Coturnix japonica: one gene and its partner. The protein of the gene in region 1 purifies or fractionates together with the protein of each later gene. This does not show direct contact. Links are inferred from orthologs where the notes say so. Each region holds a gene or a part of one and is shown on either strand. Other genes may lie near its edges.

What was found.
Region 2: the proteins of RBL2 (region 1) and LIN37 purify together in Homo sapiens (affinity purification with western blotting; 5 studies listed by BioGRID and IntAct, with this or other methods). This does not show direct contact. The link is inferred for Coturnix japonica from reciprocal best matches to the Homo sapiens genes RBL2 and LIN37.

What each region holds. Positions count from the first base shown.
Region 1 is NC_029526.1:4,014,099-4,020,799, forward strand, and holds part of RBL2 (retinoblastoma-like protein 2), read right to left. Parts: intron 6,693-6,701; coding exon 6,532-6,692; intron 6,438-6,531; coding exon 6,373-6,437; intron 6,035-6,372; coding exon 5,848-6,034; intron 5,528-5,847; coding exon 5,361-5,527; intron 4,866-5,360; coding exon 4,756-4,865; intron 4,355-4,755; coding exon 4,251-4,354; intron 3,886-4,250; coding exon 3,748-3,885; intron 3,337-3,747; exon of another isoform or gene 3,277-3,336; coding exon 3,112-3,276; exon of another isoform or gene 2,844-3,111; coding exon 2,732-2,843; exon of another isoform or gene 2,152-2,731; coding exon 1,879-2,151; exon of another isoform or gene 1,479-1,878; coding exon 1,204-1,478; exon of another isoform or gene 899-1,203; intron 606-898; coding exon 429-605; intron 280-428; coding exon 208-279; intron 1-207. UniProt on the Homo sapiens protein: Key regulator of entry into cell division. Directly involved in heterochromatin formation by maintaining overall chromatin structure and, in particular, that of constitutive heterochromatin by stabilizing histone methylation.
Region 2 is NW_015439939.1:37,043-43,353, forward strand, and holds the start of LIN37 (protein lin-37 homolog), read right to left. Parts: upstream 3,132-6,311; 5' UTR 3,117-3,131; coding exon 2,983-3,116; intron 1,461-2,982; coding exon 1,405-1,460; intron 1-1,404.

The DNA of each region.
Region 1 (6,701 bases):
GTTGTAAGCAAAGGTATTTTAAATTACAGGTACAGTTGAACAGCAGCAGCTTTCAGTACTGCAGGATTTGGGTGTGACTGTTGTATTTAAGGGCAGTGGCTCAGAGAATGCATCATTTAATATTAAATCTTACATAGCATTAGATGATGTCATATATTAAATGCCTCGTTCTGCTTTGGGAACAGAGAGATTTTTGACTGTACTTACGTGACTCTTGGCTTGTGGTTGTGTCCGGTAGCAGCGCATAATGTTCTGAAAGGACCTGTCTTCCTTAGTAACCTAAGAAGAGAGATTATTAGTTCTTCTCTGGTTGTTTTTAGTTGGTGTTTTCCCTCCCTGTTTGGTTTGTTGAGATTGTTTTTGCAGGTTGTTTGAGCATTCTCTGGCCTACCGAGCCTTAAAAAACACGCTGTTTTTATTCAGCTTACCTTAGCCATTACGTAGATAGCACACATCAGCAGCTGATCCAGATGCCTGTCCATCATGATTTCAGGGCAGTGCATCAAGGAATACTCAAAACATGTCCAGACTTTTTTCCGCAGCTCATCAGATATGTCCAGTTTGACAGAGAGATCCCGCAGACGAACACTAGCTAAATGATAGACCTGTAGGAAAGGAGACAGCTAAATGATACACCTCTAGGAAAGGGACCACATCTACCGTGCTTGTCTTGTCCAAACTGAGCTCTAACTTGGATGTGAGTCCTTTGTAGAAGCCATGCAAGTGATAAACTAATGACAAGTACTGAAATGAGCTGCTTTTGCTTACAAGATTAAGACACTGCTATACTGGTACTGATGCTACAAAAGCATTTGTTTTTGAATTCTGCAGTTATCTGGAAATACAGAAACCTCTGTATTGATTAAATATTTCCAAAGTAAATTTCTCTTTCTTTAAGAGCCTGAAAGAAGATGGACACGTTTAAGCAGCTGCTGGCCACAGATGTCAATCTGCTTGCCAGCTAGTGACAGCCGTACTGTTCATCTACCCTGACAGCGAGGAAGCCCTGTGCAGGAACACAGCTCTTCAGGTATGCATCTGATCAGACAAAACATGTTATCTTTGAAGCTAAATATTCTCTTATTAATATTAGCAATAAGGAGATATTTTAATATCACAGGAGAGCTACCAAAGATATTAAAATATCACAGAAGAGCTACCAAAATACAAACTAAACAAAGCACGAATTAGGCTGAAAAGTACCTTTCTAAAGAAGAGGGAAAGCGAGCCCATCTTCCGGGACCGAGCAGCTGTGGCAGCAGTGAGGGGCTGGGCTGGCCTTGGCTCTCCAGAGGTGATGTGCTGAACAGTGACCTGTCCTGGGAGCTGCAGCGCTGCCCCCGACATCTGAGTGCTCAGGGGGCCCGTGAGAGCCTGGGCGCTGAGGGGCTGAATGGAGCCAGAGACTGCCTGCGGCTGGGCCCCAACATTGACCTGCACTGGGAAGAAAGTTATTCCTCCATTTTCATTGGCGATACCTGTAATTTAAGAAAAGAGTCTGACATAAGAGCGAGTTGTAGGGGGTTGTTTAGTGTGGATGGTGTTTCCTGTTACAGCTTTTTCTTAATAATTCAGTGTACCTTACATTAATTGATTATAATTTGTAGTATATTATAGATAAGGAAACAAGAAGATAACGGAATTGAACTAATCTTTAATTATAACGTCACTTTCTTCCAGCTGAGGAAGCAAAGCTCACTGAAAAAGTTGTTGTATTAACAGAGTCACTGAGCATCTTTGTGCCGTCTCTAAATTCTGCTCATCTATTCATACCTTCTTAAGCCTGCTTTCCTGCTCTGGGCGTGCTGTTTTCCCCCACATCCCCTTACTGGATATTGGACAGAAATCAGCCTGATCTGACAGCAGCTTTTCTCTTACCTTGTACAGGTATGGTCACAGTTTGCCCATTATTGGCTGTCACGGTGGCAGTTGCTACTGTAACCAATGTCTGGCCAGGCACTGGAGTTACTGACACGGTGTCAGGGTTCACATTCTGCACAGGCACCGTATTTACCACGGGCTGCTGGGCAACTCTGACTGGAGTTGAGGTGTCAGAGGGATTATCGTTATCGACAAACAGCCTCCTCCTCGTAGGATGCGCTGTAGGAGAGCTGTATCTGTCATACAGGGTTGTAGGGGAAGATGAAATGCCTGTGGGTTTAAAAAACAAAAAGAAAACAATCTTGTTGTAAAATCCCTTATTATACAAATAGATAAAAAAGAAATCTGATGAGACCCCAAAGATGACAACTGGAAGCATTTAAAATTAATGTCTACATCTGTGGCTCACAGATTATGAGATTATTTGATCTCATGTAACATGGCACTGAGTAGCTTTTTCTCAGCAAATGCGTTATGCTTTAGTTCCTCTGTAAAAAAAAATCTGAAGCCTCACAGAGCTGAACATACACTGGAGCTTCTAATCTGGTGTAACAAACCAAGCTGCTGAGCAGAGCTGATGTATTTATACATGTACATGTGTGTACACAGATGGTGTTAATAGACACAAACTCCTGAAACCACTGACACGGGACTGTTCTGATCTGAAATAAGGAAGGTTTCAGTCTTAGACATCTGACTTAACTATGCAGGTTACAACAGAAATAGCATTTACAGGTGCCTGATTGTACAGTAACCACTAGAGCAGCTTCCTTCCTGTATGCCATTTAGATTGTAAATTCAGGTCACAGTGTAGGAGTGATCAATACGTTGTGCTTGAAAAATAGCTCACCTTTTCCCAGGCCTCCACTTTCAGCTCGGACCTCATTTAGTCGTCTTGGTGTCAATGGAGAACTGACAACACTGCTGGCAGCAGATCTCTCGAAGTACTGAGGTGGCATGACCTAAAATAGTTGTACTTTTATCAGTGCAGCTGTAGCACAAATTCAATGCACAGCTGATTTTTAGAACTTCTAGTCTAAACATGTTGAACAGTGAAACTATACAGAAGAAAAATGAAGAACACTGAAAAAATACTGTAACCTTAAACTAAAAACTGTGTAAGTCTGGGCATGCGAAGCCTCTCCTGCAAGAGCTGATGTCCACCCTCCACCATTCTGCTGAACAGGAGCCCCACGTGAGCCATGTTACACAATACAGAGCAGCGCTCACCTCTTCACAGCTCGGAACTTTGTTGTCGTTATCTCTGATTCTGTCCCACAGGATGGACTCCTGTTTCCAGGCCATGCTTTCCAAGATCTGTTCTTCAATATGATTAAGGTGTTTCACAACTTCCCGACAAAGGCCATCTTCTGCTCTAATGAAAACCTCAATTACCTGTAAAGCAGACAAGGATGAAGTCCATGTAATACTGAATAAATCAGTGACTGAGTATAACCTCTTTGTTTTCATAGATTTCTTCTTACAATGAAATGAGATCCTAACTTCTTCTCAAGGAAGAGACAAGAACAATTGTTAGACTGTGTCAGTGTGGTTCAATTGGGCTGCAAGTTTATCTTCCCACATAGCAGTGAATGCAGAACAGCTGCAGCAGCAGCTCAGGATCCCTGGTCCCTAGTTCAAGATAGGTGACAATTCATTAGTCACTTGGACAAACTCCTGCATTCCACTGATTAACAGCAGTCTGATTTTTAGATGCCCAAGCCAGCTGTAAAGTACTTTCAAGACAAAAAGAGGCAAAGCTAAGAATGAAGTTAGTTCACATTTTAGCATTCAGGTAAAGAGATTATTTAATACAAGTTGAGTACGCAGGGCTTGATCAACATTTCTAGCTATTAAACACTTTACCTTATAAAAGTGATAAACTGGAATGTCGAATATTTCTGTGATGAAGGGAAAGTTTCCAGGCTGCTTGTATGTGAAGGTGACGATCTCAAGGCAGCACGCCAGCAGGGAGCGATGGAACACGTCTTGCTCCAGTACAGCCTGCAAGAGAGTTGTCTGTTTTAATGCTTCATCTACAGTGTAACAACACAACAGGATCATGCTTTCTATTCTGCCTCCACAGCAACATTACCCAGCTTTTAAACATGGGATTTCCCTTTGTACCTGATGGAACAGAATCCAAATGAAGACATCTTTACTCTTTATAAATTTCATATACCATTTTTGTTCTCAAACAAACAATTTCTTGTAGTTTTCCTTCCATTCAGGTACACCTTCCAACTACCTGGGAGATTTACTCATTTAAAATAGCAGTATGTAATAAAATATTATAAATATATATCAATATTTCCTTTTTTGTAGATCCAACTTGAAACATAAGGTGCAATTGGAGTAGTTGTCCTTACAGATAAGTCAGCGTCTCCCAGTCTCTTCCTCTCTTGCTCAATGATTGCCTCCAAAACCTTGTAGTAGAGCACCTCAGCACGACGGAAATGCTTGCTGGCCACATCTGTAAACACAAATAATATTGTGAACTGCAGTAAAGGTGTCATCATTCATCTTAAACTACAGTGATAAAGCAGCAGCTTATTTGCTTGTGTGGACTCCTGTGCAGCTGTGACAAAAAGGCACCCTTGAGAGAAGAACAATTCTGAGTGCTTTTCTTTCCACCCTCCTGTAAAACATCATAGAAAAATCATCAAGTCCCTATGATTTATGCCAAGTATGATTATGGAAGTTTATATAGGGTTGAAAGTTGCCCTACTGTAAGACTAGCAGGCAAAGAGAGAAGAAATAGAAAAGACTCTTGTGCTAAAGCACAGCCTCTACATAAGGCAGAGTTTACTTGGAAGAGATCAGTGTTTTTAAATACATGTGAATTCCTGTTTATGTAAGTAAAATGTTTCCCACCTTTGGACAAATTACTGAACTCTTCTTCAGTCTGCATGCTCTGACAATACACTTCATACATTTCTTTGACTCTGTTTGCAATAGACTGTGAGGGATCTCTGGAACACGCCCTGAAAATACAAGCTAGTTTAAGTGTTCTATTTCTGCTAAGACAAAACACAAATACACACACACCAAAAAAACCTACAATAGGATTAAAGCATGAAGCTGTAAATTATCTTTGATAGACAGCAATGCAAACACACCCACACGTGCCTTGCTGGAAATGCACTGTGAGACATCCACAGCAAATTCTACTGCAGTGAGCGTCAACTCGTCATAAGAGTTTAATACTAAACAACGTATTCCAATGTGAATTAATAAGAAAAGGCTTGAAAAAATTGCAATGGCAGTTTGCTGTTAGTGAAGCTCCAAATTTGGGTGTTGTTATCACTGTCGATCTCTCAAGGATAAACGTGCAGAAATAAAGACAAGAGCCTTTCTGAAGCTGAATGTCCCTCTGGCTCCTATTTCACTCCAGGCTTCCAACACTTTACCTTTTAAGTTACGCTATTTCACATTTGTTATTATAGTTTCTAACTTTTGTAGCTAAGCATCAAAGTTACCTGAAGATTTGCTCCAGGTTTTCACTGGGGGCATTTTTCAGCCCCGCCAGCATGGTGTGAAGGCGGCTCAAGCTGTACGTTGCTATGGAAATGGGTGTCACATAGGGGTTGCTCTCCTTAATGTACTTGCGGCCAGTGAGGGGGGTCGACATCCGAAGCGATTTAGACTAGAAAGAAAACAAAGCATCTCTCTGTACATTATTACAGCACTCAGACCTTGTAAGAGACTTAAAGTGTCAGGTGCTAGAATTGTTTCTTAGCTGGTTACAATATATATCTATCTATGAAAGGAGAGCTGGAATCAAACAACCCAAACCAGTTCTCTCCCAGTAACAACCATCAGCATCAGGTCTATCTGTGGCTTGGATGCCTGTGTCAAATACTAACACAGAAGTATCTGAGCAGTGACAAAATGACCTCACGCTGAAACGCCACAATTGGACAACTCCTTCTCCACAGGAACATCAAAGGACTGTGCCAGACTCACTCTGTCAAAGTGCTGCTGTAAATTATGCTTCACTTGTACTCGCTCAGCTGTTTCCATTCCTGAGGGTGTATTTAAGCACCGTGTGAGAGTTCCAATTTCTTCATCTGCATCCTCCCCGAGGAATATTCGCTCATCGAGGTTTCCTACTGACAAGACATACTCCTCATAGGCCTTGTTGATGGCTTTGCTACAGGGGAAAAGAGAAAAAAAGCCCTTTAGTTTAGACAGCGCTTTCACTACCTGCTTTCTGACTGAACACACTTCTTGGCCTATCTGAAGGCCTCAGAACTTGCTTTTTCTTCCTAACGCTTTACATCGTATAGAAAAGACCATGGAAACATGAACAAGAGCAGACATCGAGCAATGCTATGCTGAAAAGGCCTCAACCAGCAAAGAGCTGAAATGCCTTTTAATATAATATATAAATAGTAATATATCTATAAATTAACTAGCTAGTATTAGTGATAAGATACAGGTAATAACCCAAAGGGACACAAATGCAGACCAAAGCACAAGCTGACTCACAAGCTGTCTCCAAAGTTTCCAGGATCCAGAAATCCAGTCAGATTTTCATCTTTTCCTTTTAAGAGCTGAAAGAGCAAAGAACGGAGACACGGCAGTCGTTAAAGTTCTGAAGACAACAAGTAGAGAAGCATTTTCTGCATCCTGAATGCACCCACCAACCTTCTTGTCAAAAAGTTTCCGAATGTACGGCTTCCAAAAATGCTCCTTGATGCCTTTTGCTTCTAAAACTAATCCGTAATGTAATGAACACAGCTTTTCAATGATGCAGGGGGGGTCAGATGATGTTTTATAATCCTTACTGTGAAAGTCTTCAGGCAGACCTATAGAGA
Region 2 (6,311 bases), on another chromosome or scaffold:
TGGACCCAAAATGGTGGAAATTGGGCTCAAAATGGTGGAAATTGGGTCTAAAAATGGAGGAAATTGACCCAAAATGGAGGAAATTGACCCAAAATGGGGGAAATTGGGCCCAAAATGGGGGAAATTGGGCCCAAAATGGGGGAAATTGGGCCCAAAATGGAAGAAATTGGGCCCAAAGTGGGGGGAAATGAGCCCAAAATGGACCCAAAATGGTGGAAATTGGGCCTAAAAATGGAGGAAATTGACCCAAAATGGAGGAAATTGGGCCAAAAAATGGAGGAATTTGGGCCCAAAATTGGAGGAAATTGAACCAAAATTTACAAAAATGGGCCCAAAATGTGGGAAATTGGGCCCAAAATTGAAGGAAATTGACCCAAAATGGTGGAAATTGGGCCTAAAAATGGAGGAAATGGACCCAAAATGGCAGAAATTGAGCCCAAAATGGAGGAAATTGGACCCAAAAAAGAGGAATTTGGGCCCAAAATGGGGGGAAATTGACCCAAAATTGACAAAAATGGGCCCCAAATGGAGGAAATTGGACCCAAAAAGGCGGAAATTGGGCCCAAAATGGTGGAATTTGGGCCCAAAATGGTGGAAATTAGGCCCAAAATTGAAGGAAATTGACCCAAAATGGAAGAAATTGGGCTCAAAAAGGAAGAAATTGGGCCAAAAAATGGAGGAATTTGGGCCCAAAATTGGAGGAAATTGACCCAAAATGGAGGAAATTGGGCCCAAAATGGGGGAAATTGACCCAAAATTGACAAAAATGGGCCCAAAATGGCAGAAATTGAGCCCAAAATGGAGGAATTTGGACCCAAAATGGTGGAAATTGGGCCCAAAATGGAGGAAATTGGGGCCAAAATGGAGGAAATTGGGGCCAAAATGGGGGAAATTGGGCCCAAAATGGGGGAAATTGGGCCTAAAATGGGGGGAAATGGACCCAAAATTGGAGGAAATTGACCCAAAATGGGGGAAATTGGGCCCAAAATGGGGGAAATTAGGCCCAAAATGGGGGAAATTGGGCCCAAAATGGGGGAAATTGGGCCCAAAATGGGGGAAATTGGACCAAAAAGGAAGAAATTGGGTCGAAAATGGGGGGAAATTGGGCCCAAAATTGAAGGAAATTGACCCAAAATGGTGGAAATTGGGCCTAAAATGGGGGAAATTGGGCCCAAAATGGTGGAAATTGGACCCAAAAAGGTGGAAATTGGGCCCAAAATGGGGGAAATTGGTCCCAAAATGGGGGAAATTGGGCCCAAAATGGAAGAAATTAGGCCCAAAAAGGAAGAAATTGGGCTCAAAATGGCGGAAATTGGGGGATTTCTTGGGGTTAATTAGTGTTAATTAAGTCTGTGTTAATTAATGATGTTAATTAAGATGTTAATTACGATGTTAATTACTCACCTGGTTTCTCCACCTTCACCTTCAGGGACAACATGGCGGCGTGTGGGGGATGGGACCTAAAAACCCCATAGAAACACATAGAGACATATAAGGACCATTAGGGACCCATAGAGACCCATATAGACCCATTGGGACCCATAGGGACCCCATAGAGCCTCATAGAGACCCCATAGAGCCTCATAGAGACCCCATAGAGACCCCATAGAACCCTATAGAGCCCCATAGAACCCTATAGAGCCCCACAGAACCCCATATAACCCCATAGAGCCACCACAGAACCCCATAGAGCCCCATAGAGCCCCATAGAGCCCTATTAAACCCCATAGAGACCTATAAAGCCCCATAGAACTCTATTAAACCCCACAGAACCCCATAGAGCCCTATAGAACCCCATAGAGACCCATAGAACCCCATAGAACCCCATAGAGACCCATAGAGACCTATTAAACCCCATAGAACCCCATAGAGCCCTATTAAACCCCATAGAGCCCTATAGAGCCCCACAGAACCATATAGAGCCCAATAGAACCCCATAGAGCCCCACAGAATCCCATAGAGCCCCACAGAATCCCATAGAGCCCCATAGAACCCCATAGAGCCCCATAGAACCCCATAGAGCCCCATAGAGCCCCATAGAGACCCCATAGAGCCTCATAGAGCCCCATAGAGACCCCATAGAGACCCCATAGAACCCTATAGAGCTTCATAGAGACCCATAGAACCCCATAGAGACCCATAGAACCCTATTAAACCCCATAGAGCCCCATAGAATCCTATTAAACCCCATAGAGCCTCACAGAGACCCCACAGAACCCCATAGAACCCCATAGAGACCCATAGAGCCCTATTAAACGCCATAGAGCCCCATAGAACCCTATTAGACCCCATAGAGCCCCATAGAGACCCCATAGAGCCCTATTCAACCCCATAGAAACCCATAGAACCCCATAGAACTCTATAGAGCCCCACAGAGCCCTATTAAACCCCATAGAGCCCTATTAAACCCCACAGAACCCCATAGAGCCCTATAGAATCCCATAGAGACCCATAGAACCCCATAGAGTTCCATAGAACCCTATTAAGCCCCATAGAGCCCCATAGAACCCCATAGAGCCCCATAGAACCCCATAGAGACCCATAGAACCCCATAGAGACCCATAGAACCCCATAGAGACCCATAGAGCCCTATTAAACCCCATAGAGACCTATAAAGCCCCATAGAGACCTATTAAACCCCACAGAACTCTATTAAACCCCACAGAACCCCATAGAGCCCTATAGAATCCCATAGAGACCCATAGAACCCTATAGAGCCCCATAGAACCTTATTAAACCCCATAGAACCCCATAGAGACCCATAGAACCCTATTAAACCCCATAGAACCCCACAGAACCCCATAGAGCCCCATAGAGCCCTATTAAACCCCATAGAACCCCATTAAACCCCATAGAGCCCCATAAAACTCCATTAAACCCCCCAAAACCCCCATTTTTGCCTCTTTTCCCCCATTTTTGCCCGTTTTTCCCCATTTTCCCCCATTTTTGCCCGTTTTTTCCCCATTTTCCCCCATTTTTCACCTCCCTCCCGCCGCGTCTCCCGCCTCGCGCGCCGCCTCCTCAGCTCGTCTCCTCGCTCTCTCATTGGTCGCTTGCCCCGTCCGTCCGGCTGACAGCCAATCAGCACCAGAGTCCGCGTTCAGAGGGCGGGACATCGCTGCCCTTTACCCATTGGTCTGTGATCACGTCCGTTTTACCTTTTAGCCAATCGAAGCACGAGCTGTTGTTTAGAAGGCGGGGCGTAACACATTGCGCCTTTCCATTGGCTGCTCACCGCGTCCATCTCTTCATCCCAACCAATCACCGCTCTCATCTCCACACAAGAAGGCGGAGCTTTCTCTTTCAACCGTCCCGCCACTCACTCCGCCTTCCCATTGGCCGCACGCCGCGTCCATCACAACCGACAACCAATCAACACGCGTCTCATCCCCTGGGAGGGCGGGGCGCGGGCGCCATGTTGGGGCGGGCGCCATTTTGGCTGCGCCCCCCATAGGAGTCGGATGGAGGTGGGGGGCGCTATGGGTCTCTATGGGTCTCTATCGGTCTCTATGGGGCCTTATGGGGCGCTATGGGGCTGTATGGGGTTCTATGGGGTTATATGGGGCTCTATGGGGTTATATGGGGCGCTATGGGGCCCTATGGGGTGCTATGGGGCGCTATGGGGCGCTATGGGGCTCTATGGGGTGCTATGGCGCGCTATGGGGCGCTATGGGGCTCTATGGGGCGCTATGGGTCTCTATGGGGGCGCTATGGGGCCCTATGGGGCGCTAGGGGGCGCTAGGGGGCTCTATGGGGTTCTATGGGGTTCTATGGGGTTATATGGGGCGATATGGGGCGCTATGGGGCCCTATGGGGCGCTATGGGGCTCTATGGGGCGCTAGGGGGCTCCATGGGGTGCTATGGGGCGCTATGGGGCGCTATGGGGCTCTATGGGGCGCTATGGGTCTCTATGGGGGCGCTATGGGGATATATGGGGCTCTATGGGGCGCTATGGGGATATATGGGGCTCTATGGGGCGCTATGGGGCCCGGAGCCCCCCCATTCTACATCGCTTCTGTCCCATAGGGGCTGCAAGAGAGAACGGCGGCGCTGCTGAGGAGGAGGTGAGAGCCCCATAGTGCCCCATAGCTGCCCCATAGACACCCCATAGCTGCCCCATAGCTGCCCCATAGAGACCCCATTGATGCCCCATAGCTGCCCCATAGACACCTCATAGCTGCCCCATAGATACCCCATAGAAGCCCCATAGCTGCCCCATAGACACCCCATAGTTGCCCCATAGACACCCCATAGCTGCCCCATAAATGCTCTGTATTCCCCATAACTGCCCCCTAAGTGAGCTCTTGACCCCATAACTGCCCTATATGTGACCCACAAGTGATCTATGGGCCCCATATCAACCCTTTAAGTGCCCTATAATCCCCATAACCACCCCATATCCGCCCCATAAGTGAGCTATGTGCCCCATAACTGCCTTAGGAGACCCCAAACTGCCCCATAACTGCCCTATAGCCCCTATAGCTACCCCTTAAGTGAGCTGTTGGCCCCATAGCTGCCCTATATGTGCCCCATAAGTGCCCTAAGACCCCATGACAGCCCCATAGCTGCCCCATAAGTGAGCTGTGTGCCCCATAGCTGCCTTAGGAGACCCCAAACTGCCCCATAGCTGACCTATAGCCCCTATAGCTACCCCTTAAGTGAGCTGTTGGCCCCATAGCTGCCCCATAAGTGCCCTATGACCCCATAGCTGCCCTATATGTGCCCCATAAGTGCCCTGTAGACCCCATAGCTGCCCCATAACCCCCCCACTCTGCCCCATAGTGAAGCTGTGCTGAACCAACACCCACGGACCCCCCAGACCCACCCAGGTAAGGCCACGCCCCCTCCATTACAGCCAATAGGAGGCTGGGGTGGGCGGGGCTTAGCTTGGCCACGCCCATATTGCCATATATGGAAGAACCAAGTGACTGGCCACGCCCACATTGCCATATATGGAAGAACCAATGGGGATATTCCGTTAGGCCACGCCCCACACTGCCATATATGGAAGAACCTGTTACCATATATGGAATGGGAGCTGAGGGGGCGGGGCTTCACCTCCCCTATTACCTTATATGGAATGATTTGGGGGCGTGGCTTTGCTTTGGCCACGCCCCCATTACCATATATGGAACTAAGACTGAGGGGGCGGGGCTTCACCCTCACATTACCATATATGGAATGACTGGGGGCGGGGCTTGGCTTGGCTCCGCCCACATTGCCTTATACGGAAATCAACCTATCTGACCACGCCCCCTTTTGTTGTAGCCCCGCCCCCTTGTGGGCGTGGCCTGCAGGGCGGTGGGCGGAGCTTGGATCCATTGCAGCAATGGAGAGCCAATAGGAGGCGGGGACTGGCCGAAGCTCCGCCCCCTGTGACGTCAGCACGGAGGAGGAGCCAATCGGATGAGGCGGTAAGGGGGCGGGGCTTAATGGAGGGGTGGATCTATGGGGCTGAGGGATCTATGGGGCTGAGATGTGGGTCTATGGGGCTGGGATCGGGGATGTAGATCTATGGGGCTGGGATGGGATCTATGGGGCTGGGATGTGGATTCTATGGTGCTGGGATGGTGGGATCTATGGGCTGGGATGTGGATCTATGGGGCTGGGTTGTGTGATCTATGGGGCTGAGATGTGGATCTATGGGGCTGAGGGATCTATGGGGCTGGGATGTGGATCTATGGGGCTGGGATGGGGATCTATGGGGCTGGGATGGGGATCTATGGGGCTGAGATGTGGATCTATGGGGCTGGGATGGGGATCTATGGGGCTGTGGATGGGGATCTATTGGGGCTGAGATGTGGATCTATGGGGCTGGGATGTAGATCTATGGGGGCTGGGATGGGGATCTATGGGGCTGGGATGGGGATCTATGGGGCTGGGATGTGGGTCTATGGGGCTGAGGGATCTATGGGGCTGGGATGTGGATCTATGGGGCTGGGATGTGGATCTATGGGGCTGGGATGTGGATCTATGGGGCTGAGATGTGGATCTATGGGGCTGAGATGGGGATCTATGGGGCTGGGATGTGGATCTATGGGGCTGGGATGGGGATCTATGGGGCTGGGATGTGGCTCAATGTGTTTCTATGGGGCAGGCCCTCCCTCCATCGCCGTGGGGCTGCGCCGTGGGGCAGAAAGCGGCCGCCATTGAACTGCTGCAGGAAGCGCTGGGTGAGAACAGAGCACTTATGGGGCAGCCCCACACTTGGGGGTCAGCCCCACACTTATGGGGCAGCCCCACATGTGCTGACCCACGTCTGCTCTGCCCCATAGATTCGGATGAGGAGGAGGCGGCGGACGACGCGGTGC